Anolis sagrei: one gene and its partners. The protein of the gene in region 2 purifies or fractionates together with the protein of the main gene of each other region. This does not show direct contact. Links are inferred from orthologs where the notes say so. Each region holds a gene or a part of one and is shown on either strand. Other genes may lie near its edges.

What was found.
Region 1: the proteins of glycogen synthase kinase-3 beta-like (region 2) and PRUNE1 purify together in Homo sapiens (affinity purification with mass spectrometry; 3 studies listed by BioGRID and IntAct, with this or other methods). This does not show direct contact. The link is inferred for Anolis sagrei from reciprocal best matches to the Homo sapiens genes GSK3A and PRUNE1.
Region 3: the proteins of glycogen synthase kinase-3 beta-like (region 2) and AXIN2 purify together in Homo sapiens (affinity purification with mass spectrometry; 3 studies listed by BioGRID and IntAct, with this or other methods). This does not show direct contact. The link is inferred for Anolis sagrei from reciprocal best matches to the Homo sapiens genes GSK3A and AXIN2.
Region 4: the proteins of glycogen synthase kinase-3 beta-like (region 2) and GSKIP purify together in Homo sapiens (affinity purification with mass spectrometry; 7 studies listed by BioGRID and IntAct, with this or other methods). This does not show direct contact. The link is inferred for Anolis sagrei from reciprocal best matches to the Homo sapiens genes GSK3A and GSKIP.

What each region holds. Positions count from the first base shown.
Region 1 is NC_090032.1:5,173,021-5,179,938, reverse strand, and holds the start of PRUNE1 (exopolyphosphatase PRUNE1), read right to left. Parts: upstream 3,014-6,918; 5' UTR 2,799-3,013; coding exon 2,760-2,798; intron 1-2,759. UniProt on the Homo sapiens protein: Phosphodiesterase (PDE) that has higher activity toward cAMP than cGMP, as substrate. Plays a role in cell proliferation, migration and differentiation, and acts as a negative regulator of NME1. Plays a role in the regulation of neurogenesis.
Region 2 is NC_090034.1:109,126,345-109,133,651, reverse strand, and holds the start of glycogen synthase kinase-3 beta-like, read right to left. Parts: upstream 3,016-7,307; 5' UTR 2,828-3,015; coding exon 2,566-2,827; intron 1-2,565. UniProt on the Homo sapiens protein: Constitutively active protein kinase that acts as a negative regulator in the hormonal control of glucose homeostasis, Wnt signaling and regulation of transcription factors and microtubules, by phosphorylating and inactivating glycogen synthase (GYS1 or GYS2), CTNNB1/beta-catenin, APC and AXIN1.
Region 3 is NC_090022.1:181,787,824-181,794,911, forward strand, and holds the start of AXIN2 (axin-2), read left to right. Parts: upstream 1-4,076; 5' UTR 4,077-4,152; intron 4,153-7,088. UniProt on the Homo sapiens protein: Inhibitor of the Wnt signaling pathway. Down-regulates beta-catenin. Probably facilitate the phosphorylation of beta-catenin and APC by GSK3B.
Region 4 is NC_090021.1:318,912,077-318,920,009, reverse strand, and holds the start of GSKIP (GSK3B-interacting protein), read right to left. Parts: upstream 3,019-7,933; 5' UTR 3,018-3,018; coding exon 2,845-3,017; intron 1-2,844. Other genes in the region: ATG2B (autophagy-related protein 2 homolog B), read left to right, coding at 7,165-7,326. UniProt on the Homo sapiens protein: A-kinase anchoring protein for GSK3B and PKA that regulates or facilitates their kinase activity towards their targets.

The DNA of each region.
Region 1 (6,918 bases), on a different chromosome or scaffold from region 2:
GAGTGATTGTGTTTGCTATGTACTAATTTTGTTGTGTACATAATAATAATAATAATAATAATAATAATAATAATCCAATACAACAGACAGCAGAGCGATCTTGTTTGCTGTGTACTAATTTTGTTGTGCATAATAATAATAACAATAATAATAATCCAATATAACAGCTAGCAGAGTGTCTGCTGTGGACTCATCTTGTTGTGATTCAAAACATTATTATTATTATTATTATTATTATTATTATTATTATGATAGATCACCCTATCTCCCGACCGCCATCTCCCAAAGCAGTTGCTCTACTCAAGAAAAGGGAATGTTGGTGGGCAGGAAAATAGATTTACAGATGGGCTCAAAGCCAACCTTAAAAACTGGCATAGACACTGAGAACTGGGAAGCCCCAGCCCTTGAGCACTCCAGCTAGAGGTCAGCTGTGACCAGCAGTGCTGTAGAATTTGAAGAGGCACGAATGGAGGGCGAAAGAGAGAAACATGCCAGGAGAACCCACCGCCAGAACACCGATCTTGGAAGACAATGAGGGATCACCTAAATAAGTACTAAATGTCAGGAATAACTTGAAGGCACACAACCACAAGAAAATCCAAACCAACAACAACAAACCATTCAAAAGAAACAGAGGTAGCTAGAAGAACAGAAAATAACCAGCCGAAATGCATTTCCATGTTGTTTGAGCCAAGAGCAAAGACTTTGTCTTGAGGTTCAAGGGTGGGGACTTTCTTTTGGCCAAAGGAATGAATCCAATCCCAGAGAAGTTATCAGGAGCCACATTCCAGGGATGGGTGAGACTAAAAATACCAGTGCATGTTAGCCTCCAGCTCTTAGAACTATTACTTATGCCTCTGGGGTGGAATGCTGGCCATTTAAAACAAGGGCAGGGAAATATTTAAAAACAGAGACGCCTCCAAACAAGGATACTATGGTGAAGTCTGAAAAAAGTACAGAGCCCTGGAGGGGCTTAACAACTATATTATCTCTCAAACGTAAAGTGCTTAGACAGAAAGAACATTTGTTCTTTTCAATGATAATTATTACAATTGATAGAGAAAATATAACTTTTATGTTATGTTTATTAAGTTCTGCAAAACAACAGCTCATTCTTAGGGTAAGACAATATTTGATTTACAATGTAGACCCAGATCCATGCTCTATATGTTTTAGTAAATACTATTCTGTCTGTCTTGTTATAATAATGGGCACCCTATGGCTGTCCAGATATTATTAAACTATTATGCCCATCATTTTGACCACTGGCATACATATTTCCAAATCGTAGGGGGTGGATATGCGCACTCTATATACATATAGGTGCATACACATACCATATGTGTGCCCTATATACATGTATGTATATGTGTATACACACTATATATGTGCCCTATATACATGCGTGTTTATGTATCTATACTATATACATATATGTATATGCACAATTTGCACCCTATATGTGTGTATATGCACTATATACATGTATGTGTGGATACACACAATTAATGTGTGTGGGTATATATATACACACACATACACACTATATATAGAGAGGGGGGGCACACTGTACACATGTATATGGGGTACACATATAGTGTGCATACACACAGTATATGTGTGCCCTATATGCATATGTATATATGTACACTATATACATGTGGATGCACACCATATGTGTACCCCACATACATGTGTACAGTGTGCCCTATATACATGTGTACCTGTATGCTATATATGTGTATACACTATATACACTGATGTATGTGTTATGTATACACGTGTGTACATATATGCAAATTATGTGTATACATATACATAAACTATATACGTGTGCCGTGTGTGTATATATACATTATATACATGTGTGCATAGGTACAGTATACGTGTGCCCTATATACGTTTGTGTGTATATATATACACAACTATATAAATGTATGTGTGCATACACAGTATATGTGTGCTCTATAAACATATGTATTTATGTACACTATATACATGTCTACACTTATGTGTATTCACACTGTGCCTTATATACATGTGTGTATATGTATGCTATATATGTGTGTATTCACTACATGGACTGCGAGAAGATCCAACCAGTCCATCCTCCAGGAAATAAAGCCCGACTGCTCATTGGAGGGAAGGAGACTAGAGACAAAGTTGAAGTCCTTTGGCCACATCATGAGAAGACAGCAAAGCCTAGAGAAGACAATGATGCTGGGGAAAGTGGAAGGCAAAAGGAAGAGGGGCCGACCAAGGACAAGATGGATGGATGGCATCCTTGAAGTGACTGGACTGACCTTGAAGGAGCTGGGGGTGGTGACGGCCGACAGGGAGCTCTGGCGTGGAATGGTCCATGAGGTCACGAAGGGTCGGAGACGACTGAACGAATGAACAACAACAATTCACTACATACACTGATGTGTACATATAAACTATACAGTATGTACATATATGTAAACTACATGTGTACACATGTATCCTATATAGGAGGCATGGGCAAACCTCGGCCCTATAGGTTTTGGACTTCCATAATTCCTACGAGTCGGTAGGATGCTGGGAATTGTGGGAGTTGGAAATCCAAAACACCTGGAAGGCCAAAGTTTGCCCATGCCTGCTGTATACATATGTGTGTGTGTGTATATATATATATATGCACACTCTGTATTTGTATATGTGTGTGTATGTGCCCATTCCAAAGGTAGGCCCTACCTGAGGCCTGGCCCCCTTGCTCCCCTGAGTCCTGCACCCAATACCTGCAGCGCGGCCTTGCAGCCCTCGAGGAAGCCTTCCATGGCGGCTGAGGGAGAAGAGAGGCCCCCCTTCCGTCCCGCAAAGGCTGCCGGGGAAAAGGAAGGGCCTCCGGGGCTTTAAATAGGCGTGGGGCGGCGGGGAGAGGCCTAGAGCCGTGCCTAACCGTGTTTGTGCGGACTCTGAAACCCACTCGGCGGCCATTTTGGAAGGCCGTGCGAAATGACCGTTGCGGCGCATGCGCAGTTCGCCACGCAGCCCATCCTCTCCTCTTTGGCAAGGTTGAGTGCGCATGCGTACGACACTTTTTTCTCTCTCCTTGGCAAGGCTGAGCGCGCATGCGTAGAACACTTTTCTCTCTCTCCTTGGGAAGGCTGAGTGCGCATGCGTACATGTTGCTCTCTCTTCCTTTGGCAAAGCTGACCACGCATGCGTAGAACACTTTTCTCTCTCTCCTTGGCAAGGCTGAGCGCGCATGCGTAGAACACGTTGTTATCTCTCCCTCTTTGGCAAGGCTGAGCGCGCATGCGTAGAACACTTTCTCCTAGGCAAGGCTAAGCGCGCATGCATAGAACACTTTCTCTCTCCTTGGCAAGGCTGAGCGCGCATGCGTACAACACGTTGCTCTATCTCCCTCTTTGGCAAGGCTGAGCGCGCATGCGTAGAACACGTTGCTCGCTCTATCCCCTTTCGAAAGGCTGAGCGCGCGTGCGTAGAACACGCTCTTTCTCCCTCTTTGGCAATGCTGAGCGCGCATGCGTAGAACACATTGCTCTCTCTCCTTGGCAAGGCTGAGCGCGCATGCGTAGAACACTTCTCTCTCCTTGGCAAGGCTGAGCGCGCATGCGTAGAACACGTTGCCCGCTCTATTCCCCTTTCGAAAGGCTGAGCGCGCGTGCGTAGAACACGCTCTCGCTCCCTCTTTGGCAAGACTGAGCGCGCATGTGTAGAACACGTTGTTCTCTCTCTCCCCCTTTCGCAAGGCTGAGTGCGCATGCGTACAACACGTTGCTCTCTCTCTCTCTCTCTCTCTCTCTCCCCCCCGCCAACGACTTGGCTCCCAATTGGAGCGTTCGGAAAGGGGCGTGGCCTAACACGTTCAATGGCTGTCACTCCGGCAACCATAGACTAGAATCAGTTAGAGAGAGTTAGAGAGAGAGAGAAGAGAAAGGTTGCGAGTTCGAATCTCTCCTGGGCTGAAATCCTGTATACTGTAAATATACATAATAATAATAATAATAATAATAATAATAATAATAACAAAATGTAATGTTAGTATATTTATATTTAATAATATATTTTACACAAATATATTAATATTATTATATTATATGATATTAATAATATAATATATTAATATTAATATATTTGTGTATTTATAATGTAATAATATTATAAATAATTTATTTATATAATAACAATATAAAGTATATAATTATCAAATAATATGAATAATATAAATACACAAATATATTTATATTATTATATTTTATTTATAATATAATAACATTAATATATTTGTGTATTTATAATTTAATATTACTATCAATATATTTCTATATCAATAATATAAAATATATCATTATCAAATAATATCAATAATACAAATACATAAATATATTTATATTATTATATTATTTATAATGTAATATAATAATATTAATATATTTGTGTATTTATAATGTAATATTATTTTTAATAATATATTTATACATTAACAATATAAAATATATAATTATCAAACAATATGAATAATATAAATACACATATTTGTGTATTTATATTATTCATATTGTTTGATAATGATATAATTTATATTATTGATATATAAATATATTGATAATAATATTACATTATAAATACACAAATATATTAATATTATTATATTATATTATAAATAATATATTAATATTATTATATTATATTATAAATAATATATTAATATTAATATTATATTATAAATAATATATTAATATTAATATATTTGTGTATTTATATTATTCATATTATTTGATAATTATATATTTCATATTATTGATATAGAAATATATTATTAATAATAATAATATATTATAAATACACAAATATATTAATATTATTATATTATAAATAATGTAATAATATTAATATATTATATTATAAATAATATAATATTATTAATATATTTGTGTATTTATAATGTAATATTATTATCAATATATTTATATATCAATAATATAATATAAAATATATCATTATCAAACAATATGAATAATTATAAGTAAGGTAAATAAATAAATAAATATATTTTATATTATTGATATATAAATATATTGATAATAATATTACATTATAAATACACAAATATATTAATATTATTATATTATTTATAATATAATATATTAATATTATTACATTATTATAATATATGTAATATATTATAACAATATATTATATAATATATTATATATAATATAATAATATATGAATAATATAAATACCCAATAATATAAATATATTATCAATATATTTATATATCAATAATATAATATAAAATATATCATTATCAAACAATATGAATAATTACAAGTAAGGTAAATAAATAAATAAATATATTTTATATTATTGATATATAAATATATAAATATATTGATAGTAATATTACATTATAAATACACAAATATATTACCAATATTGTTATTATATTTTATTATAACTATATAAATATAATAATATATTTTATAATGATACCTTATAAAACAATAATAGTAGGAATAGCATTCATTTGTAATTTTTTTAGTATTATTTTTTAATTATTTTCCATTTCAGACACTTGTTTCCCATTCAGATGGAGGATAGGATTTGCAATATTCTCCTGCCATGAGTCCTCCAGCCCTGTAGATGTCCCTGTAGGAAAGAAAGGAAAACCAAAAAAGGAGGAGGAGGAAAAAAAGAAGAGGAGAGGAGAAGAAGAAATAAAGGTGTGTTTCCTTTCTCTTCCAGCCTTGGATCCTTGGAGGAAGGAGGAAGCAAAGCAAAGCAAAGCAAGCAAGCAACAAAGCAAACTCCCAGGCAAAGCATTTGCAAGGAATGCAAGCAAGCATGGCAAAGGTAAAGTATTATTATTATTATTATTATTATTATTATTATTATTATTATTATTTAGCTATATACCTCAATATGCCTTGTTGTGGGTTCTAAAATCCAAAAGATCTGGACTGATCCCTTTCAAATTTTGCAAAATGCAGCAAAGGAAAGAAAATACCCTGTTGTTTATTCCAGATTTCTCCATTGGAAACCATTGCAAAAATAGGTTAATAATAATAATAATAATAATAATAATAAGTGTAGCTACCAAAAACAAGGATGTATCAATTGTGGGGGGAAAAATCTACTTTGGCTTTTTTATTCTTCCTGTTGTTTATTCCCAATTTCTCCACTGGAAACCATTGCAAAGTTAGGATTATTATTATTATTATTATTATACTAATAATAATAATGTGTAACTACCCAAAAAAGGATGTATCAATTGTGGGGGGAAAAATCCAGCATATATATCTCCTTTGCTGGACATATGGTGTTATTGTGTCGGTAAAATAACAAAAATAACAATAATAATAATAATAATAATAATAATAATAATAACAATAATACTAATATAAATTAGACACTTGGGAAGTGTCCGATGTGTGATCCAATGTGACAGCCTTGTTTGCTGTGTACTAATGCAAAGATAGGTTAATAATAATAATAATAAGTGTAGCTACCAAAAACAAGGATGTATCAGTTGTGGGGGGGGAAATCCAGAATATATATATCTCTCATTTGCTGTGACATAGGGTATTTTTTGTCAGTAAAATAATAATAATAACAATAGCAATAATAATAATAATAATAATAATAATAATAATAATATAAATTAGACACTTGGGAACTGTCCGATGTGTGATCCAATACGACAGCCTTGTTTACTGTGTACTAATCTTTTTGTGTTTCAAGTAATAATATATATATATATATATAATTATTATAATATTATGTATGTATATATAATACACACACACACATAATATTATATATATTATGTGTGTGTGTGTGTGTGTGTATATAATATTGTAATGAATATATCTATAACAATATATTTTATATAAAATTATAAAGGTATATTATTGTCTTTCAAGTAAT
Region 2 (7,307 bases):
AACAACAACAATAATAACAACACGTTATTTGTACCCCGCTACCACCATTTCCCCAAGGGACTCGGTACGGCTTACATGAGGCCGAGCCCAAACACAACAACAACAACAATAATAATAATAATAACAACAACACTTTATTTGTACCCCGCTACCACCATTTCCCCAAGGGACTCGGTACGGCTTACAAGAGGCCGAGCCCAAACACAACAATACAAGCAATAATAATAATACAAGCAATTAAAAACATAAACAATAAAGTACACAACATTATCAATAATGCAAGGAGGAAGGAAGGAAGGAAGGAAGGAAGGAAGGAAGGAAGGAAGGAAGAGGAGTGTCAGGGGCCTGGCCTCGGCCCCCTTGCCTTGCCTGGCCCGTTCTCTCCAGGGTTAGACCGGGGTCTCTGGAGGAGGGCTTGCGTCCCTCCTGCTTTGCCCCTTGACCACCACCCTTGCTGCCCCTCAGGAGGAGAGAGTGACCCTCGGCATCTCCCTCTGAGGCTCGGCCTAGGACTGAACTTCCCACTCAAGGAGGGGGGCACCAAGATGCCCTGCTTACCTTTGAAAATGGCATTCAAAGCACTCCCAACAGATGGCCATCCAGTGGGAGCCCGTGTGCCCCACTCCCTTGACCACTGGGGTGCCCCTCAGCACCTCCCTCTGAGGTGTGTGTGTGTGTGTGGAGGGGGGGTCTTGACCTAGGGCTGCACTGAGATGCCTTGCTCACTTTTGAAAATGGCATTCAAAGCACCCCAAATAGATGGTCATCCAGGAGGAGCCCGTGTGACCCACTCCCTTGACCACTGGGGTGCTTCTCTGAGGTGTCTGTGGGGGGGGGGGTCTTGACCTAGGGCTGCCCTGAGATGCCTTGCTCACCTTTGCCCCCACCCACCCCCACCTGGGCTGCCCCCTCGGCACCTCCCTCTGAGCTCTGAGGTGTGTGTGTGGTGGAGAAGGGTCTTGGCCTAGGGCTGTACTGAGATGCCCTGCTCACCTTTGCCCCCACCCACCCCTACCCCCACGTGTGAAAATGGCATTCAAAGCACCTCCAACAGATGACCATCCAGGAGGAGCCTGTGTGTCCCGCTCTCTTGACCACTGGGGTGCTTCTCTGAGGTGTCGGGGGGGGGGGAGTCTTGGCCTAGGGCTGCTCACCTTTGCCCCAACCCGCCCCCACCTAGGCTGCCCCCTTGACCACTGGGGTGCTTCTCTGAGGTGTCTGTGTGGGGGGGGGGGGGGGGCTGCACTGAGATGTCCTGCTCACCTTTGCCCCCACCCACCCCCACCTGGGCTGCCCCCTCGTCACCTCCCTCTGAGGTATCTGTGTGTGTGGGGGGGGGGGGGGGGGTTCTTGGCCTAGGTCTGCACCAAGATGCCTTGCTCACCTTTGCCCCCACCCACCCCCACCCCCACCCCCCATTCAGAGCACCCCCAACAGATGGCCATCCAGTGGGAGCCCGTGTGCCCTGCTCCCTTGACCACTGGGGTGTCCCTCGGTGTGTGTGGGGGGGTCTTGGCCTAGGTCTGCCCTGAGATGCCCTCCTCACCTTTGAAAATTGCATTCAAAGCACACCCAACAGATGGCCATCCAGGAGGAGCCTGTGTGACCCACTCCCGTGAACACTGTCCCTCTGAGGTGCGTGTGTGTGTGTGTGGGGGGGGGGGGGGGGTGTCTTGGCCTAGGTCTGCCCTGAGATGCCTTGCTCACCTTTACCCCCCTCCACTCCTACCCCCACCCCCCCATTCAAAGCACCCCCAACAGATGGCCACCCAGGAGGAGCCTGTGTGCTCCACTCCCTTGACCACTGTCCCTCTGAGGTGTGTGTGTGGGGGGTGCTTCTCTGAGGTGCTTCTCTGAGGTGTCTGGGGGGGGGGGTCTTGGCCTAGGTCTGCACTGAGATGTCCTGCTGACCTTTGACCCCACCCACCCCTACCCCCACCCCCCATTCAAAGCACCCCCAACAGATGGCCATCCAGGAGCAGCCTGTGTGCTCCACTCCCTTGACCACTGGGGTGCCCCTCGGTGTGTGTGTGTGTGTGGGGGGGGGGGGGGTCTTGACCTAGGTCTGCACTGAGATGCCTTGCTCACCTTTACCCCCACCCACCCCTACCCCTACCCCCAGCCCCCATTCAAAGCACCCCCAACAGATGGCCATCCAGGAGGAGCCTGTGTGCTCCACTCCCTTGACCACTGGGGTGCCCCTCGGTGTGTGTGGGGGGGTCTTGGCCAAGGTCTGCCCTGAGATGCCTTGCTCAGCTCACCTTTGCCCCCACCCACCCGTGCCCCCACTTGGGCCACGCCCCTCCCGTCTGCGGTTGCCAGGCAACCAGATCCTCCTCCTCCCTTTCCCTTACTTAGTGGGCCACCCCCCTAACCCCTAACCTGAACCCGGATTCTCAAGACCCCTTCCCCAGTCCAATGACCTCCCCGTGACGTCACCGCGAGAGACCCAGGCCCAGGTATCTATCATAATAATCCTCATCATAATAGGAATAGAGACAGAACAGTGAAGGGAGGGGGGTGCGACCCTGGAGACCCCCTTTCCCCCTCTCCGCGCAGACTCACTTCCGAGCTTGAGTCCCGGGAAGGAGCCCCCCGACGACAAGCTCCCTCCCCCTCCTCCGCCCCCTCCTCCAGGCCCGGGCCCGGCGGCCTTGCTCCCTGCGGGGGGCGGCAGCGGGGGAGGGGGGGCCGAGGCGGCGGAGGAGGAGGGGGCGGCGGAGGTGTTGGGGGCGGCGACGGCGGCGGCGGGGGGCGCGTTGGAGGGGTCGGCGAAGGAGCTGGTTCTAGGCCGCGAGGAGGAGCCGCCCGCGCTGCCGCTGCTCATGGCGAGGCCGGGACGCGGAGAAGGAGGAGGAGGAGGAGAAGCCTGGCTCCCTATCTAGAGAGAGAGGCCGTCGCCACCACCACCACCACCGCCGCCGCCACCGCCGCGAGGCCCCACGGGAAATGGAGTCCCCTCCACTCTCTCGCCCCAGTGCCGGCAGCCGGACTCCGCTTCCCAGAAGGCGCCGCGCCGCCCTCCCGAGGCGCCGCAAAGCACGACGGGAGCGAAATGAGTTCCCCCGAGCCCGGCACGACTACACTTCCCAGACTGCGCCGCGCGGCAACGACTCCCACACTGACAGACCGACCTACCTTCAGGGGCGCGGGCGGGCCCCCCTCCTGTTTCTCCCCCTGTTCCTCCCGCTCCGCCTCGGCGCTGCTCCATGTCGGCGGTGTGGGCGGAGGGCCCTCCCGGGCGGAAGGCAAGCGAGCTCGGGCTGCGGCCTGGGCGCCGCGGGGCACGACGGGAGGCCGCGGGCCCTGCTCTGCTGCTCCCGGCATGCCCCGCGCCCAGCCTTAGCAGCAGGAGGCAGGAGGAGGAAAGAGTCTCGTGACCCGGCGGCGGAAACTACGTCTCCCGTCGTGCTTCGCGGCAGGAAGTGTGAGGGTTGGGACGCCCCCCCCCCCGAAAGGGCTGCTGGGAGGTGTAGTCCCGCGGGAGAGAGAGGGAGGAGACTCCGCTCCCATCAGCCTCTTGGATGCTCCGGGCCCAAAGGCAGGCAGGAAGGAAGTATTAGTATCCCTGTATTGCCGAAGGCTTTCATGGCTGGAATCACTAGGTTCTTGTGGGTTTTTTCGGGCTGTATGGCCATGTTCTAGAGGCACTCTCTCCTGACGTTTCGCCTGCATCTATGGCAAGCATCCTCAGAGGTAGTGAGGTCTGTTGGAAGTAAGAAAATTGGTTTATATATCTGTGGAATGGCTGGGGTGGGGCAAAGAGCTCTTCTCTGCTGGAGCTAGGTGTGAATGTTGCAAAATAGCAGAGAGGAAACAACCAGGTACATCTTAACACCTCTCAACAAAAGATTTTCCCAGGCTCAGCCAGGCCTTCAAATGCTAATGAAGGTGGTCAGCTGAAACATTCACACCTAGCCCCAGCAGACAAGAGTCCTTTGCCCCACCCTGGTCATTCCACCGATATATAAACCCATTTTCCTACTTCCAACAGACCTCACTACCTCTGGGGATGCTTGCCATAGATGCAGGCGAAACGTCAGGAGAAAAATTGCCTCCAGAACATGGCCATATAGCCCGGAAAAACCTACAAGAACCTATTAGTATCCCTATTGGAATATGGATTAATGGACAATGAGAGTGGATGCTGATTCTACTGATGAGACGTGATGGATTGCTATTTTGTTGTATTGTTGTATTGATGTTTTGATGTGAATTAATTGATATTGCTGTCTTAATTGAGTAATGATCTGTTTTGTGCTGCTGAATTCGTTGTTAACCGCTCTGAGTCGCCTGAGGGCTGAGAAGAGCAGTATACAAGGGAAGTAAATCAATCAATCAATCAATCAATCAATAATAAGTAGGTTCTTGTGGGTTTTTTCGGGCTATTTGGCCATGTTCTAGAGGCATTCTCTCCTGACGTTTCGCCTGCATCTATGGCAAGCATCCTCAGAGGTTGTGAGGTCTGTTGGAAATAGGACAATGGGTTTATATATCTGTGGAATGACCAGGGTGGGACAAAAGACTCTTGTCTGCTGGAGCTAGGGGTGAATGTTTCAACTGACCACCTTGATTACAATTTGATGGCTTGGAAGTGTCTGGGGGAATCTTTTGTTGAGAGGTGATTAGATGTCCTTGAGTTGTTGTACTTTTTTCCGGGCTATAGGGCCATGTTCTAGAGGCATTCTCTCCTGACGTTTCGCCTGCATCAATGGCAAACCTCCTCAAAGTTAGTGAGGTCTCTTGGAAATAGGAAAATTGGGTTTATATATCTGTGGAAAGACCAGGATGGGACAAAGGACTCTTGTCTGCTGAAGCTAGGTGGGAATATTTCAACTGACCACCTGGCAGTGCCTGGGGCAATCTTTTGTTGAGAGGTGATTACATGCTGGACCACTCTCACAATCACCACTGTTTACAAAAAACAGAAGAAGGTTGAATCTGTATTGTCAAAGGCTTTCGTGGCCGGAATAACTGGGTTCTTGTGGGTTTTTCCGGGCTGTATGGCCATGTTCTAGAGGCATTCTCTCCTGATGTTTCGCCTGCATCTATGGCAAGCATCCTCAGAGCTTGTGAGGTCTGTTGGAAGTAGGAAAATGGGTTTATATATCTGTGGAATGGCTGGGGTGGGGCAAAGAGCTCTTCTCTGCTGCAGCTAGGTGTGAATGTTTCAACTGACCACCTTGATCAGCATTTGATTTCCTGGCAGTGCCTGGAGCAATCTTTTGTTGAGAGGTGGTTAGATGTCCTTGTTTGTTTCCTCTCTGTTATTTTGCTGTTGTTTTGTTCAATGAACAAAATCTGGCTACCAGTATTAAAAAACTCTAAAATTGCAACAGCAAAACAACAGAGAGGAAACAACCAGGCACATCTTAACACCTCTCAACAAAAGATTCCCCCAGGCTCAGCCAGGCCTTCAAATGCTAATGAAGGTGGTCAGCTGAAACATTCACACCTAGCTCCAGCAGAGAAGAGCTCTTTGCCCCACCCCAGCCATTCCACAGATATATAAACTCATTGTCCTATTTCCAACAGACCTCACTCCCTCTGAGGATGCTTGCCATAGATGCAGGCGAAACGTCAGGAGAGAATGCCTCTAGACCATGGCCATACAGCCTGAAAAAACCTACAAGAACCTAGTGATTCCAGCCATGAAAGCCTTCGACAATACAAGGAAGGAAGTATTAGTATTAGCTCCAGGCTCAGCGATGAATCCAGGGTCACACCCAAGCTGCGAACCTGCATCTTCAGCGGGAGTGTAACCCCGTCCAACACAGGTTGTAACCCTATACCCTGTTCGGCCTTTCGCCTGACCAGGAGTACCTCTGTCTTGTCTGGATTTAGTTTCAGTTTGTTCGCCCTCATCCAGACCGTCACAGCGGCCAGGCACCGGTTCAGGACCTCGACAGCCTCCTTAGTAGCAGGTGGGAAGGAGTGACAGAGTTGGACATCATCCGCGTACAGGTGACACCGCACCCCGAAACTCCGGATGATCTCTCCCAGCGGCTTCATGTAGATGTTAAACAGCATGGGGGATAATATAGAGCCCTGTGGAACCCCACAAGACAATGGTTGTGGGGATGAACAGGTGTCCCCCAATAACACCTTCTGGGAACGACCCTCCAGAAATGACCGGAGTCACTGCAAAACAGTACCTCCGAGACCCATTTCCGCAAGACGCCCCAGAAGGATACCGTGGTCGACGGTATCGAAGGCCGCTGAGAGGTCCAGCAGAACTAACAGGGACACACTCCCCCTGTCGAGCTCCCGGCGAAGATCATCCACTAAGGCGACCAAGGCTGTCTCGGTACCATGCCCCGGCCTAAAGCCAGACTGTGCCGGATCCAGATAATCCGTGTCTCTCAAGAATACCTGGAGTTTGCCTTTGGGCAATTGAGTGTCCTGCATTTCCTTTTGGCCCAATGTCCCATGGCCATGTGGTTTGTGTCAGTTGTATGGCATGAGCTGGAGATCATGAGAAAGAGCCACATCCACTGTTTTAGCGAGGTGATATGTGTTCCCCTCTTGGTATGCGTACTCAGCAGCAGAGTAGCAGATGCCTTCTAGAATCCTAGAGTTGGAAGAGACCTCCATGTATATTAATATGTATCTGCTGTAAAACAATGTATAACAAATGTATTAAACCATGATAAAATAATAAAAAATATTTACAGAAAAAACATACATCAATTACGTCTCCTATTTGTCCAATCTCATCATCCGGTTGTTCCAATTCCTATGTCATTTACCTTACATTTTCAAATGCTTATTCAAACAACCAAGTCTTGACTTTTTTCCAAAATGTTAAGGGGGCCGATCTAATGTCCTCGGGAAGGGCGTTCCATATCCGAGGGGCCACCACTGAGAAGGCCCTGTCTCTCGTCCCTGTTTGTGATGCAGGCGGGATCGAGAGAAGGGCCTCCCCGGACGATCTTAAAGTTATGATAATGTATTCCCGTCCTCCCCTTTCGGCTGGAGGCGGGTGCAACTCAGTCCCATTCCTCTGTAAAACACAGCTAAGAAAAGCATATATGAAGGCATCAACATATGAAGACTGGGATTGTGGTGCAGCTGGCTGAGTGTCAGAGCTGCATTAAGATCACTCTGACCAAAAGGTCATGAGTTCGAAGCCAGCCCGGGTTGGAGTGGGTTTCCAACCAATTGTGTGTAGCCTGTTGTCGACCTTTGCAACCTGAAAGACAGTTGCATCTGTCAAGTAGGAAAATAAGGTACCACCTTAAAAGTGTGGGGAGGCTAAATTAACTGATTTATGAGGCCATAAAGCAAAGCAGAGCAAAGCATTCCAG
Region 3 (7,088 bases), on a different chromosome or scaffold from region 2:
ATCTTAGTGCTCCTGTTGACATCTGGCAACATCCTCAGAGTTACTTTTAAAACAATCTCTCATATTTTGGCTACAATTTTGCAGTGGTTCCCAACCTATGGTCCTTGGACCACCAGTGGTCCACAAGAACTAAAATATGGTCCATGGCCTCACCGTTACTACACTGTTGCAATGAAAGCGACTGGTCTCATGAAATCCTCTTATAGTGCTGAGGCTTATTAATTATAGTTTTCTGTGGGCAAGCAGATGGCCATTACTGGATGGTATGTTCTGTATCAGAAACTAGAGTAGATGTGGTCTATCCAATGCAGTTTTCTGAATCAGCACCCCAAATAACCAAACAAGATCTAAAGTTGACCACAAACTGGTTCGTAACCCTTTTGGTGCTAATGTTGTAGAGTGGTCCCTGGTCAAAGTGGTCTCCGGTCAAAGTGGTCCTTGGTCAAAAAAAGATTGGGAACCACTGGTTTCAAGGAACTGTTGGAGCCAAATTTCCAGGGAGCAGAACTTGGAAACCTTTTCCAGACATTTCCCACTAGGTATAATTGTTTGTCTCTTCTCCTTTCCAACATAGGATTCAAGGGAGCTACCAACAAGATTAAGACACATACAACATTGTCTATCATATTAAAACATCAGTTTAATTCAAAACAGTAAGTCATTTTTAAAAATAACAACAAAGAGGTGTTTAATGAGACCCAACCCATTAAAATGAACTCTTCCGCTCCGCAAAATGAGTTGATCATCAAAAGACTTTTTGAAGAAAGAGTCATTTTAAAAACACACAAACAAAACAGGCGTATTTGACATTCACAGAATCACCACCTGGCATTGCCAAAGTTGGAGCACCCAGTGGCACAATTGGTTAAATCTGTGCAGGAGTGCTGACCAATATATGTCAGCAGTTCGGATCTGAGGAGAATGGGTTGAGCTCCCTCTGTCAGCTCCAGCTCCCCATTCGGGGACGTGAGAGGAACCTCCCACAAGGATGGTCAAAGTGGTCAAAGTGGTCAAGTGGTCCCTGGTAAAAAAAAGGTTGGGAACTGTACTATACTGAACTATTTTCCACCCCTTTGAACTACCATAGTGCCGCTGAACCCCTTCTCCCCACAATCATTTAGTTCCTGGCTCAGCCCAATATAAAATAGATGAAATATGTACTCTCAACCTTGTTGGATGCCTTCAAGGCATTTCTGACTTATGGTGACCCCAAGGTGAACCTCTCATGGAGTTCATTTGGCAAGATCTGTTTGGAGGCCTTGCTGTTGATTAAATATCCATCTGGGTGGCAAGTCCTTTATTGCTATTCAAATATCCCTATCCATTTCTCATGTAGCTCCTATGTCAATAGTAATCCAATGTAGAGAAGGCTGCGAGTCTCTGGACTGTCTTCTGAATAAACATGCATAGGTTCAGATGCACCCAGATATTTCGGATTTTTGAGGTTGCACTCATCCATCAATTTCATATTATTCTGCCATTCTTTCATATATTCCCCCTCAGAAAAAGAAGTATCTAACAGCAAAAATTACTTTGGAATCTATCCAGGACAGACAAGAAGTTGCATGTGCTTGCATAATTTTTATTTAAAATAGATATTTTTCAAATATTTATTTTTTTAATAACCCAGCGTTCAGTCCACAATAAAACTATGTTCTTTATAGCCTGGAATGTGCCCGTGGTTTGTTGGACTCCCATGTCATTTGCATGCATGGGTAATGAAAAGACAATGGGACCTTACAAATCTGTGGAATTTGTGCTAATGTCTTAAGCCATGTCTGGAGTAATAAGCAATTACGTCCACATTTTGGGTGTGCTTTTAATGAGTCTATTGTCAGTTGCACAAAAGGACTGGTTGGCTGCGAGATGACCTCAACTTGCAAGCTGGAATTTGCACCAAATGTAAACCTTTTCCCTGCGATTGTTTGTTAGAAGCGGGGGGGGGGGGGGGGCAGCTTCAATACCTGGTGGATTGGGCGGGGAATTCATTGTAATGAGTTTCTTTTTCATTTTTCCTCTCTCCTCCTCTGATCCAGGGATAGCTATTTGCTATGCCATATACCCACCCACCCACTTATCCGCCCATTCAGAGTCATTTGAATGACAGAACCATATTCCACTACCAGTGGCTCGTCTAATTTGCTACAATAGCTGCGGTATGTGTGGTGCTGACATGAGAACGGGACCTTTGGTCTCCTCCACTGTAGGATGCCAACACTCTTCTCATGCCATATGCAGGCTAAAGTTTTGATACAGAATTAAGACAATAGAGTCTTCTCTTCTCACTGTTCAAAGAAGTTGCGTGCCTAATCCTCATTAATATTGTTTGGATTTGCATGTTAAAGCCTGAGGGTGCATGGATGGACAGATAGACACATACACACATAAACATTGTACTCAACCTCCTTTTTAGATCTTGTTCCCTCCCCCCCCCCCCCCCCGACTTTGTATATGCTTCCATATCAACTTATTCTCTTCTTTAGTCCACCGTTATTTATGTGTTGGTTTGATTGTTGCATCAACCATGTTGGTCATGGCATAGCTTTCCTTTTCAGAGGCATTTCTTTGTGAGTTGAGACTCACCACTAGAATACTGTCATGAATGAAAGGTTTCAATGTATTGTCGAAGGCTTTCATGGCCGGAATCACTGGGTTGTTGTAGGGTTTTTTTTGGGCTATATAGCCATGTTCTAGAGGCATTCTCTCCTGACGCTTCGCCTGCATCTATGGCAAGCATCCTCAGAGGTATTGAGGTCTGTTGGAACTAGGAAAGTGGGTTTATATATCTGTTGAATGACCAGGGTGGGACAAAGGACTTCTTTGCGGATGGTGTAAATTCTCTCTCGTAAAAGGTTGCGTTCCAGGCGGTCATAGATCCGGTGAGCTGGTGGTGTTTTGAAAGTCCTTTTGGCTGCGATAAATTGTGGGATGGTATCTGTGTCTCTGCAGCGTAGAAAGAAAGTCACCAGATCTATGACCTCCTGGAACACAACCTCTTACAAGAGAGAATTCACACCATCCGCAAATAAGTTCTTTGTCCCACCCTGGTCATTCCACAGATATATAAACCCACTTTCCTAGTTCCAACAGACCTCACTACCTCTGAGGATGCTTGCCATAGATCAGTGGTTCTCAACGTGTGGGTCCCCAGGTGATTTGGCCTACAACTCCCAGAAATCCCAGCCAGTTTAACAGCTGTTAGGATTTCTGGGAGGTGAAGGACAAAACATCTGGGGACCCACAGATTGAGAACCACTGCCATAGATGCAGGCAAAACATCAGGAGAGAATGCCTCTAGAACATGGCCATATAGCCCGAAAAAACCTACAACAACCCAGTGATTCCGGCCATGAAAGCCTTCAACAATACATTGAAGATCTCTACGGAGAGAAACTGTTCCAAGACACACGAAAATTGGAAAAACTAAGGACCAGGAAAGCACATCTACAGTGTTCCCTGACTTTCCTTCTATGCTGCAGAGACACAGATACCATCCCACAATTTCTTGCAGCCAAAAGGACTTTCAGAACACCACAGGCTCACCGGATCTATGACTGCCTGGAACGCAACCTCTTACGAGAGAGAATTCACACCATCCGCAAAGAAGTTCTTTGTCCCACCCTGGTCATTCCATAGATATATAAACCCACTTTCCTAGTTCCAACAGACCTCAATACCTCTGAGGATGCTTGCCATAGATGCAGGCGAAACATCAGGAGAGAATGCCTCTAGAACATGGCCATATAGCCCGAAAAAACCTACAACAACCCAGTGAAAGGTTTCAACCTAGGCACATGGGAAGAAGACAGTCGATGCTCCTAAATGTGTCGCGAGTGCCTTTCCCTTACTACAGAACATCTGTGGAACATCTTTAAATCCACATTTCTCAAGGTTGAAGAACATATGGCTTCAGAGAAATGGAAAACCTGTGATCTTATTTGTAAAAAATATACTTTGATTCATGTACATAAGAAAAAAAACACTGGGTGTTCTTGAGAGGAAGAAAGAGAGGGAGTGTGAGGAACTCATGTGTTTCTTTTCCCCATGTTTCCTTTATTTCAGGACACGTATGAAGGAGGAGCAGTAAGGCATCCTCTCAGAACCAAGGCAAAGAATGCACCTTTCCATCCATATCCCTCCAAACAATGACCTGTAAGTATCAGATATATTTCTTTTCTGAAAACTAATAAAAATTAAAACAATCCAGAGCCAGGCAAATATGTGGATTTGTGCAGTTCGCACATTTCCTTCCTTTTGTTGGACGGTGTCTACACACCAGTATCTTGCAAATCTGTTGATCCAACTTTCTTAAGAGTTCCTTACATTTGCAACAATGCTATTTTTCCATTGATTTTAGGGTGGTAGACTTTTAGTATTTCAGTTGATGTGGACTGCCAACTCCCATAGCCCTTTATTGCTATGGTGGTTGGCCTGATTGAAGTTATAGGCCAAAATATCCGGAAGGCTATACTTTTTCCATCCCTGGTTTATATTCAGGTTGTGTGGCAAAATTTATTATTATTTATTTATTTGCTACATTTGTATACCACCCCTCTCAGCCTGCAGGCGACTCAGGGGGGTTTACAGTCAACATCAAGACATAAGAATACAATAAAAAACAATTAAGATGATATAAAACATGATAAAATCCATAAAAATATGTGGTTTTGTCTCCCAATAAGTGAACTCTGAGATGAGGAAATTGAGTACAGACAGTGGGTTGTTATAGGGTTTTTCGGGCTATATGGCTATGGTCTAGAGGCATTCTCTCCTGACGTTTCACCTGCATCTATGGCAAGCATCGTCAGAGGTAGTAAGGATACTTGCCATAGATGCAGGCGAAATGTCAGGAGAGAATGCCTCTAGACCATGGTCATATAGCCTGAAAAACCCACCCAACAACATAGTGATTCCGGCCATAAAAGCCTTCGACAATACATTGAGTACAGACACCTTGCTGTGTGCAGTCAATGTTGGATTCTCACCAAATCCAATTGTGACGTTGCTGGCATGTTTACTTAAGCCTAAACAATGTGTAACCTACTAAACTGGGCATGGCTCACTAGCCACATAGTCTAACTTTTCAGGTGTTTGACAATCTCCCCATGCTCTAATTCGAGATAAGAAAGCCATTTTTTAAAAAAAAATGAGTGGAAGAGGAGGGAATAATCCTTGATGTGATTTTTTGAGAGGTGATAATGGTGCCAACCTCTTGGCTACGAAGCAATATCTAGGATGGCACAAAATATGAAAGAATTAATTATGGTGTCGCACTAGTTGTCCAGGCTTGCCTGAAACTCACTGTGAAGATAGGAACAAGGTAGGCACTTTCTACACTGCCATATAATCTCGATTATCAAAGTGGACAATCCACATTATCTGCGTTGAACTGGATTATATGAATCTACACTGTCATATAATCCACTTCAAAGCAGATAATCTGGATTTTATATAGCAGAGTGATTATCCCAGGAATTATAATTTCCCTCCTAGTCATTGATGGTGTAGACATGTGCAGATGTTAAGTGGTGAAGTTGGAAAGATGAATTGAGGAGATTGGTCCAGTTAACTTGTGGTGGTGCGTCTTCACATAGTTTCTGATTTATGGTGGCCCCAAGGCATTGCCAGGGGTTGGATTAGGTTGTTGTCTCTTCCAGCTCTATGGTGGTATTTATCACTAGACTTTCTTGTAAAGAGATATTCAGAAGATGTTTACCTTTGCCTTCTTCTGGGGTTGTATGACTTGCTACTATTATCATTATTGCTGCCAATGACAAAAAGAGGAGGGAGGAAGTACTCACATGCTCCCGTGGCTCTTATAAAGCTGATCCATAAACATTAAGAGGTGCTAATGCATATCTCCATGCTGTGAAAAGCATTATCACCTCCTGATGTCTACAGAGCACCTTAATGGGAAAAGGAGAAGAGGACTAGCCACAATCAACCCAGCAAGCTAAATATGCTCCTGTAAAAATTGATCCTCTGCTCATAATTTGTATGGTTTTGTCCTTGTACAAATGGTGTTAAAATTCTCATCTCATATATCATCCTAACTAATCTGTTCTAAGGTTTATTAACTACCTCTATAATAAGTTGATGTGCCGAAATCTGAATATTGTTTTTTTCATGTGTTGAAGAGGAACAATTTCACATGTGAAAAGATACACAAGGGTACTTCAATGGCTCTGATGTTAGTTGGAGGGGGGATGGATCCACACTGGTTTAGGCTGAGCTTTAGAGGAGTTATCCAAGGTGCTGGACTTATTTTGGGGAGGGAAATGCTTCAGTGTCTCAGAAAGTGATAGCATTTAAATTAAAACTGATTCATTGGTTCATCCACTGCCACCTGCAGCCAGTGTCTCAAGCAGTGGTTCCCAACCTGTGATCTGTGGACCACCAGCGATCCACAAGAACTAAAATATGGTCCGTGGCCTCATTGTTACCTACACTATTGCAACAAGAGCAACGGGTCTTGTGAAACCCTCTTACAGTGCCCAGGCTTATTAAATATGGGTTGTTGTAGGTTTTTTCGGGCTATGTGGCCATGGTCTAGAGGCATTCTCTCCTGATGTTTTGCCTGCATCTATGGCAAGCATCCTCAGAGGTAGTGAGGTCTGTTGGAACTAGGAAAAAGGGTTTATATATCTGTGGAATAACCAGGGTGAGACAAAGGACTCTTGTCTGCTGGAGCTAGGTGTGAATGTTTCAACTGACCACCTTGATTAGCATATAATGGCCTGACAGTGCCTAGAGCAAACTTTTGTTGAGAGGTGATTAGATGTCCCTGTTTGTTTCCTCTCTGTTGTTATGCTGTTGTAATTTTAGAGTTTTTTTTAATACTGGTAGCCAGATTTTGTTCATTTTCATGGTTTCCTCCTTTCTGTTGAAATTGTCCACATGCTTGTGTATTTCAGTGGCTTCTCTGTGTAGTCTGACATGGTAGTTGTGAGAGTGGTCCAGCATTTCTGTGTTCTCAAATAAAATGCTGTGTCCAGGTTGGTTCATCAAATTTTTAAATATGGTTTTCTGTGGGCAAGCCGATGGTGACTACTGGATGGCATATGTTCTGTAGCAGAAACTAGAGCTGA
Region 4 (7,933 bases), on a different chromosome or scaffold from region 2:
GCTCCTGTCCTCTGGACTATTGGCTATCCCTCCCAATTTGGTGTCGTCTGCAAACTTGATGATCATGCCTTCTAGCCCTTCATCTAAGTCATTAATAAAGATGTTGAACAGGACCGGGCCCAGGACGGAACCCTGCGGCACTCCACTTGTCACTTCTTTCCAAGATGAAGAGGAAGCATTAGTGAGCACTCTCTGTGTTCGTCCACTTAACCAATTACAGATCCACCTCACCGTAGTTTTGCCTAGCCCACATTGGACAAGTTTCCTTGCCAGAAGGTCATGGGGGACCTTGTCGAAGGCCTTACTGAAATCCAGGTACGCTACATCCACGGCATTCCCTGCATCTACCCAGCTTGTAGCTCTATCGAAAAAAGAGATCAGATTAGTCTGACATGACTTGTTTTTGATAAATCCATGTTGACTATTAGCGATGACTGCATTTGTTTCTAAGTGTTTGCAGACCACTTCCTTAACAATCTTTTCCAGAATCTTGCCCGGTATCGACGTGAGGCTGGCCGGACGGTAGTTGTTTGGGTCATCCTTTTTTCCCTATTTACTTTATTTTTGCTTATGCCCAGGATGGGTCGTCTATTGAAAAGGAAGCCAGAAGTTTATTTATTTATGACATTCTACCCCGTCTTTCTCACCCTGGAGGAGAATCAAGGCAGCTTTATATACAGGCAACACTTTGAGGCCCTAAAACACAATGTACACTTAAATAAATATTAAAATAGAATTTAAAAGTACATTAAAACAAAACATTTAAAAACAATACATTAAGAGTTGAACACATAAACCCACAAGAGTAATCTGGGCTGTTTCAATGGTCACTGCACATAAATCCAACTCCATTTATTGAACAAGTTCTTTAAAGGCTTGGTCACAAAGCCACATTTTCAATCTTTTGCAGGTCAGAAGGGAGGGGGCTGATCTAACAGGGAGTTCCACAGTCCAGGGGCCACCACTGAGAAGGCCCTATCTCTAGTCTCCGCCAATCGTGCCTGTGAGGGAGACGGGACCGAGAGCAGGGCTTCCCCAGATGATCTTAAACTCCATGGTGGTTCATTGAAGGAGATACGTTCAGACAGAAAAGCTGAGTCAGAACTGTTTAGAGATTTATAGTATAAAGCCAGAACTTTGAATTGTGCTCAGTAGCAGATTGGCAGCCAGTGAAGCCTGTGGAGTTGACGTAACAGGGGGTTGTATGCTCCCTGTATGCTGCTCTGGTGAGCAATCTGGCTACCATCCGTTGGACCATTTGCAGCTTCTGAACAGTCTTCAAAGGCAGCCCCACGTTAACTATCTTCCTCTTTTTGAAGGTGTCTTCAGATCTCAACAGCTGTACAATTTATTATTTATTTCATGCATTTCTACCCCGCCCTTCTCCCCCCAAAGGGGGAATCAGGGCGGCCTCACATAAGTATCATATGATGCTATCAGCATATAAACAATCAAAATTTACCTTTAAAACAGCAAAAAATCATTAAAACACATTATACAAATTCATTAAACAATAAACATGTCAGTAAAACAAAGCCCAAATCAGGGTAAATCCAATGTTGCAGATATCCTAAGTTTTCTTGCCAATTGCCGCTGTCCACTAATTGAACGCCTAGTCCCAAAGCCAAGTCTTCAGTTGTCTTCTAAAGGACAGGAGGGAGGTGGCCAACCTGATGTCCTTAGGGAGAGAGTTCCACAGATGGGGGGCCACTGTCGAGATGGCCCTGTCTCTTGTCCCCACCAACCGCGTTTGCGAAAGTGGTGGGATCGAAAGCAAGGCCTCTCCTGATGATCTTAAGATTCATAATGGTTCGTAACAGGAGATACATTTGGGCAGGTAATCTGGGCCAGACCAATCTAAATCTCCTTATAAACAAGGGTCCTCAAACGTTTTAAAGAGAGGGCCAGGTCACAGTTCCTCAAACTGTTGGAGGGCCGGATTATAATTTGAAAATGAATGATTCCTATGCACACTGCACATATCGTACTTGCAGTGCACTTATAAACAATACAATAATTAAAATGAAGAACAAATTTAACAAATATAAACTTATTAGTATGTCAATGGGAAGTGTGGGCCTGCTTTTGGCTGATATCGTTGTTGTTATTGTTATGTTCTTTCAAGTCATTGCAGACTTAGGTTGACCCTGAGCGAGGGCCGGGTAAATGACCTAGGAGGTCATTTGCGGACCCCTGTCATTTGCAGACCCCTGTTATAGACAATAAACAACCAAGGTCTTCATTCAGATATCATTGTTGTTATGTGCTTTCAAGTCATTTCAGACTTAAGTTGACCCTGAGCGAAGGCTGGGTAAATGACCTTGGAGGGCCGTATCCAGCCCCCGGGCCTTAGTTTGAGGACCCCTGTTATAAACAATAAACAATCAAGGTCTCCAATCGCAATTGCCTCCTATAAATGAATGCAGCTTGACATCACGTCACCTTCCTTGCCTCAATATTATACAATCGCAGGGCTTGAAGTTTTAAGAGGTCTTTAGCCTTCTCTGCCAGAGAGTGCTGTTGTATCACCAAACTACAAATCCCAGGATTCCATAACATTGAGCCAAGGCAGTAAAGTGGTGTCAAACTACATTAACTGTAGTCTAGACCAGGTATGGGCAAGCTTGGGCCCTCCAGGTGTTTTGGACTTCAACTCCCACCATTCCTAAGAGCCTCAGGCCCTTTCCTTTTCCCACTCAGCCGCTAAGCGGCTGAGTGGGAAAAGGAAAGGGCCTGAGGCTGTTAGGAATGGTGGGAGTTGAAGTCCAAAACACCTGGAGGGCCCAGGTTTGCCCATACCTGGTCTAGATGTACCCAATCCCGCTCTCGCCACGAGGTACCTACACACCAGTGCATCCCTTTCCTGGCCAGCGAGTATTTATGGCCTCTCTTCCACTCCCAAAGAGACAGCTAAGGAAAAGGCGCCTTCCCTCAGGCTCCGTCCAAGGCGACTGAAGGCGAGGCGCCTCTTCCGCTCTCTTTTCCCTCCTCCCGCTCGCCCCAGTCACGTGATTCATTAGTCAAAGAGTTCTAGGCTCGCCGACAGAGAGACGTGTGAAGAGTCTTCCGGCTCCCAAGCGGCTATGTTCCAGAAGAAGGGAGAAACCTGTCTGTACAAAACTATTCAAAACTGATTTGCTTTAAGTTTTTCGGGCTGTATGGTCATGTTCCAAAAGCATTCACTCCTGACGTTTCGCCTGCACCTATGGCAGGTATCCTCAGAGCTTGTGAGGTCTGTTGGAAACTACTTTGCTTACTTGTCTGAGTAGGATTGTCTTCCAAGATCGGTGTACTGGCGGTATGTCCGTAGGTGACTATGGAGTCTTGATCTGCAAGTTCTCCCACAGTGAGGGCATTCGTTTCCAAGTGGAATGTGGTCCCGGTTGGGGTTGGCTTGACGCACCTTCCTCTTGGCACGTTTCTCTCTTTCGCCCTCCAGGTGTTAACCTATAAAGCCCTAAACGACTCCGGCCCTGTTTACCTCTCTGAACGTATTCTCCCTTACAAACCATCAAGATTATTAAGATCGTCTGGAGAGGCCCTGCTCTTGGTCCCACCGGCCGCACAGGCGCGTCTGGTGGGGACGAGGGACAGGGTCTTCTCGGTGGTGGCCCCGCGACTCTGGAACTCTCTCCCACCGGAGGTCAGAACCACCCCATCTATCCTGACATTTAGGAAACGGGTGAAGACGTGGTTGTGGAGACAGGCTTTCGATGAATGAGACAACACCCTAGGATTTTGGATGGATTTTGGATGGATGATGATGTATATTTGATTTTAATATGACGACTGACCACCGTAGTTTTAAATATATTGTTATTTTAAATGTGTTACTGTAATTGTGAACTATGATATTTTACTGATTGTATGTGTTTTATGGTTGGAAACTGGGTTGAGTCCCTCAATGAGGTGAGAAGATCGGTATAGAAAACTTTGAAATAAATAAAAAAAAAATTCCTACCTCTTCAGATTTTACAGCACTGCTGGTCACAGCTGATCTCCAGCTGGAGCGCTCAAGGGCCACAGCTTCTCCGTTCTCAGTGTCTATGCCAGAGTTTTTAAGGTTGGCTTTGAGCCCATCTTTAAATGTCTTTTCCTGCCCACCAACATTCTGTTTTCTGTTCTTGAGTTTGGAGTAGAGCAACTGCTTTGGGAGATGGTGGTCGGGCATCTGGACAATGTGGTCGGTCCAGCGAGGTTGATGTTGGAGGACCATCGCTTCAATGCTGGTGGTCTTTGCTTCTTCCAACACGCTGACATTTGTCCGCTTGTTTTCCCAAGAGATTTGTAGAACTCTTTGGATGCAACATTGATGGAATCGTTCTAGGAGTTGCATGTTACGTCTGTAGACAGTCCACGTCTCGCAGGCGTATAGCAGGGTTGGGAGGACAATAGCTTTATAAACAAGCACCTTGGTATCCCTGTGGATGTCCAGTCCTCAAACACTCTCTGCTTCATTTGGAAACATGCTGCACTCGCATTGCTCAGGCAGTGTTGTATTTCAGTGTCAATGTTGACTTTTGTGGAGAGATGGCTGCCAAAGTGGTGGAAATGGTTGACATTTTCTAATGTTACACCATTAAGCTGTATCTCTAGCATTGCAGATTGGTTGACTGATGACTGCTGGAAGAGCACTTTGTTTTTCTCTATGTTCAGTGAGAAGCCGAGCTTCTCGTACACTTCTGTGAAGGTGTTTAGAGTGGCTTGTAGGTCTTCTTCTGAATGCGCACAGACGACGTTGTCATCTAGGAAAATGGGGTTTATATATCTGTAGAATGTCCAGGGTGGGAGAAAGAACTCCGGTCTGTTGGAGACAGGTGTGAATGTTGCAATTGGCCGCCTTGATTAGGATTTAATGGCCTAGCAGTTTTCAAGGTCTGGCTTCTTACTGCCTGGGGGAGTCCTTTGTTTAGAGGTGATTAGGTGTCCCTGATTGTTTCATGTCTAGAGTTCCCCTGTTTTGAATGTTGTTAGGATTTTAGACGTTTTTTAAATTCTGGTAGCCAGATTTTGTTCATTTTCATGGTTTCCTCCTTTCTATTGAAATTGTCCACATGCTTGTGGATTTCAGTGGCATCTCTGTGTAGTCTGACATGGTGGTTGTGAGAGTGGTCCAGCATTTCTGCGTTCTCAAATAAAATGCTGTGTCCAGGTTGGTTCATCAGGTGCTCTGCTATGGCTGACTTCTCTGGTTGAAGTAGTCTGCAGTGCCTTTCATGTTCCTTGATTCGTGTTTGGGCAATGCTGCATTTGGTAGTCCCTATGTAGACTTGTCCACAGCTGCATGGTACACAGTAGACTCCTGCAGAAGCGAGAGGATCCCTCTTGTCCTTTGCTGAACGAAGCATTTGTTAGATTTCCTTGGTAGGTCTGTAGATAGTTTGTATGTTTTGTTTCCTCATCAGCTTCCCTATGCGGTCAGTGGTTCCCTTGATGTATGGCAAGAACACTTTTCCTCGGGGTGGATCTTTGTCTTTACTCTAGTGGCTTGTTCTTGGTCTTGCAGCTCTTCTGATGTCTGAGGTGGAGTATCCATCTTATTTATTTATTTGGTAGTTTTGTATACCGGTCTTCTCACCTCCATTTGAGGGACTCGGGCTGGTTTCCAACATCAATATTACAGACCGTCATTAAAACATCATATTTCTAAATCACACTAAAACATTAAAACATTGAAACAATTAAAATGGCAAAAATACAATCATATGATTACAGTGGTCAGTCGTCATCAAAGTCATTATTCGTCGTCCTCCATCCATATCACAGGATCATGGCTCATTCGTTGAATGCCAATCCCCAAAGCCAGGTTTTCACCTGTTTCCTGAACGTTAAGATCGAAGGGGCAGTTCTAATCTCCAGTGGAAGGGAGTTCCAGAGTCAAGGGGCCACCACCGAGAAGGCCCTGTCTCTCGTCCCCACCAGCCGTACCTGTGAGGCTGGTGGGATCGAGAGCAGGGCCCCTCCAGACGATCTTAGTAAACTTGATGGCTCATAGGGGAGGATACATTCGGACAGGTAAATTGGGCCGGAGTCGTCCATTGTGCCTTGATGTATTGTTTATTGCTTGTTATTAATATTGCAATGCTTAACTGTTTTTAATTTGCTTTAAGTGTTGTATTGTTATGTTGTGTTTTGAGGCCTTGGCCTATGTAAGCCACATCGAGTCCTTCGGGAGATGCTAGCGGGGTACAAATAAAGTTTAATAATAATAATAATAACATTGGCCTGTAGAGCTCAGTTGAGGTGGTTCAGTTCATCTTGGAGGAGGTGGGGTTCGCAGATTCTTTTTGCACGGTCTGCCAAGGTTTTAATGGTGCTTCTTTTTTGACTTGGGTGATGGTTGGAGTTTTTATGTAGATATTAGGCTTGGGCAATCCATGGTTCTAAATGGTTCTAAAGTACTTACAAAACTAAAGTTCTGGTGGTGAAAATTTCAGAACTCTAACAAAACTTTCAAAATTTAATTATTATTTCATTATTGGTGATTTTAATGACAGAACTAATTAGGAACTGCCATTTATTATGAAATTTTGAGAGTTTTGTTAGAGTTCTGAAATTTTCACCACCAGAACTTTAGTTTTGTAAGTACTTTAGAACCATTTAGAACCATGGATTGCCCAAGCTTAGGAGATATCTATCTACATAAGCCCATTCAGGTAAGCTCGCTGGAAGCCGGAATTCGAGGGCACAACGCACTGTTTCGACAGCTCCACCTCTACGTTCTACCAGAAGCACATGACTTTCTCCCTTCTTTTCTCCCTCGGCGGCGACCTTTGCCGGCTTGCGCGTGACGTCACAGCCGGGCGCGTGACGCCAGAAGGAGGCGCCAAGCGGAGGCCAGAACAACAACAACAACAAGAGTGGCAGCCGGGCTTTTTTCTGCGCGGAGAGAACAAGAATCCTTGAAGCTGGGCAAGACAGCGAGGAGGCGTGGCCTGGCGAGCTTCTAAGCCACGCCCCTTTCCTCCTCTCAGAGGGGGAAGATGGCGGAGGCGGCGTGAAGAGAGAGAAGGAGGAGGAGGAGGAGGCGGAATGGAGGCGCTCCTTCCTCCTTAGCCTTTGGCACCTCCAGGGAATTGAGTCGGGGAGGCCTACCTGTCTCCCTTCAAGCCTTGCCCCGTTTAGTTTCCCTCACAGCCGGCATTGCCTTGCCTTGTCGCCACCATGCCTTGGCCCTTCTCCGAATCCATCAAGAAGAGGGCCTGCCGGTACCTGCTGCAGAGGTACTTGGGCCACTTCCTCCAAGAGAAGCTGAGTCTGGAGCAGCTCACGCTGGATCTCTACCAAGGGACTGGCTCCTTGGCACAGGTGCCCCTGGATAAGTGGGTGAGTGCGCCTTTGCCCCTTTCCCCGGCTTCCCTTCTGTCACTTCAAAGGGTCATGTTTTCTTTCATATCTTTGGCTCATTTGTCTCACTGTTTGCCAGCCCAATTGGAGATCTCATTAGAACAGGCATGGGCAAACCTTGGCCCTTCAGGTGTTTTGGACTACAACTCCCACAATTCTTAACAGGATAGAATCATAGAATCAAAGAGTTGGAAGAGACCTCATGGGCCATCCAGTCCAACCCCCTGCCAAGAAGCAGGAATATTGCATGCAAATCACCCCTGACAGATGGAGCGAACCAAGACAGGTGTATTGCATTAAAAAACAAGCAAACAAACAAAACACAAACTTTATAGACGTGGTATTCTATTAAATGTCGTTTGACCACTTGGAGTTCCTCTGGTGTTGCCACAAGAAGGTCCTCCATTGTGCATGTCGCAAGGCTCAGGTTGCATTGCAGTTGGTGGTCAGTGGTTTGCTCTTCTCCACACTCACATGTCGTGGATTCCACTGTAGCCCCATTTCTTAAGGTTGGCTCTGCATCTCGTGGTGCCAGAGCGCAGTCTATTCAGCGTCTTACAAGTCGCCCAGTCTTCTGTGTGCCCAG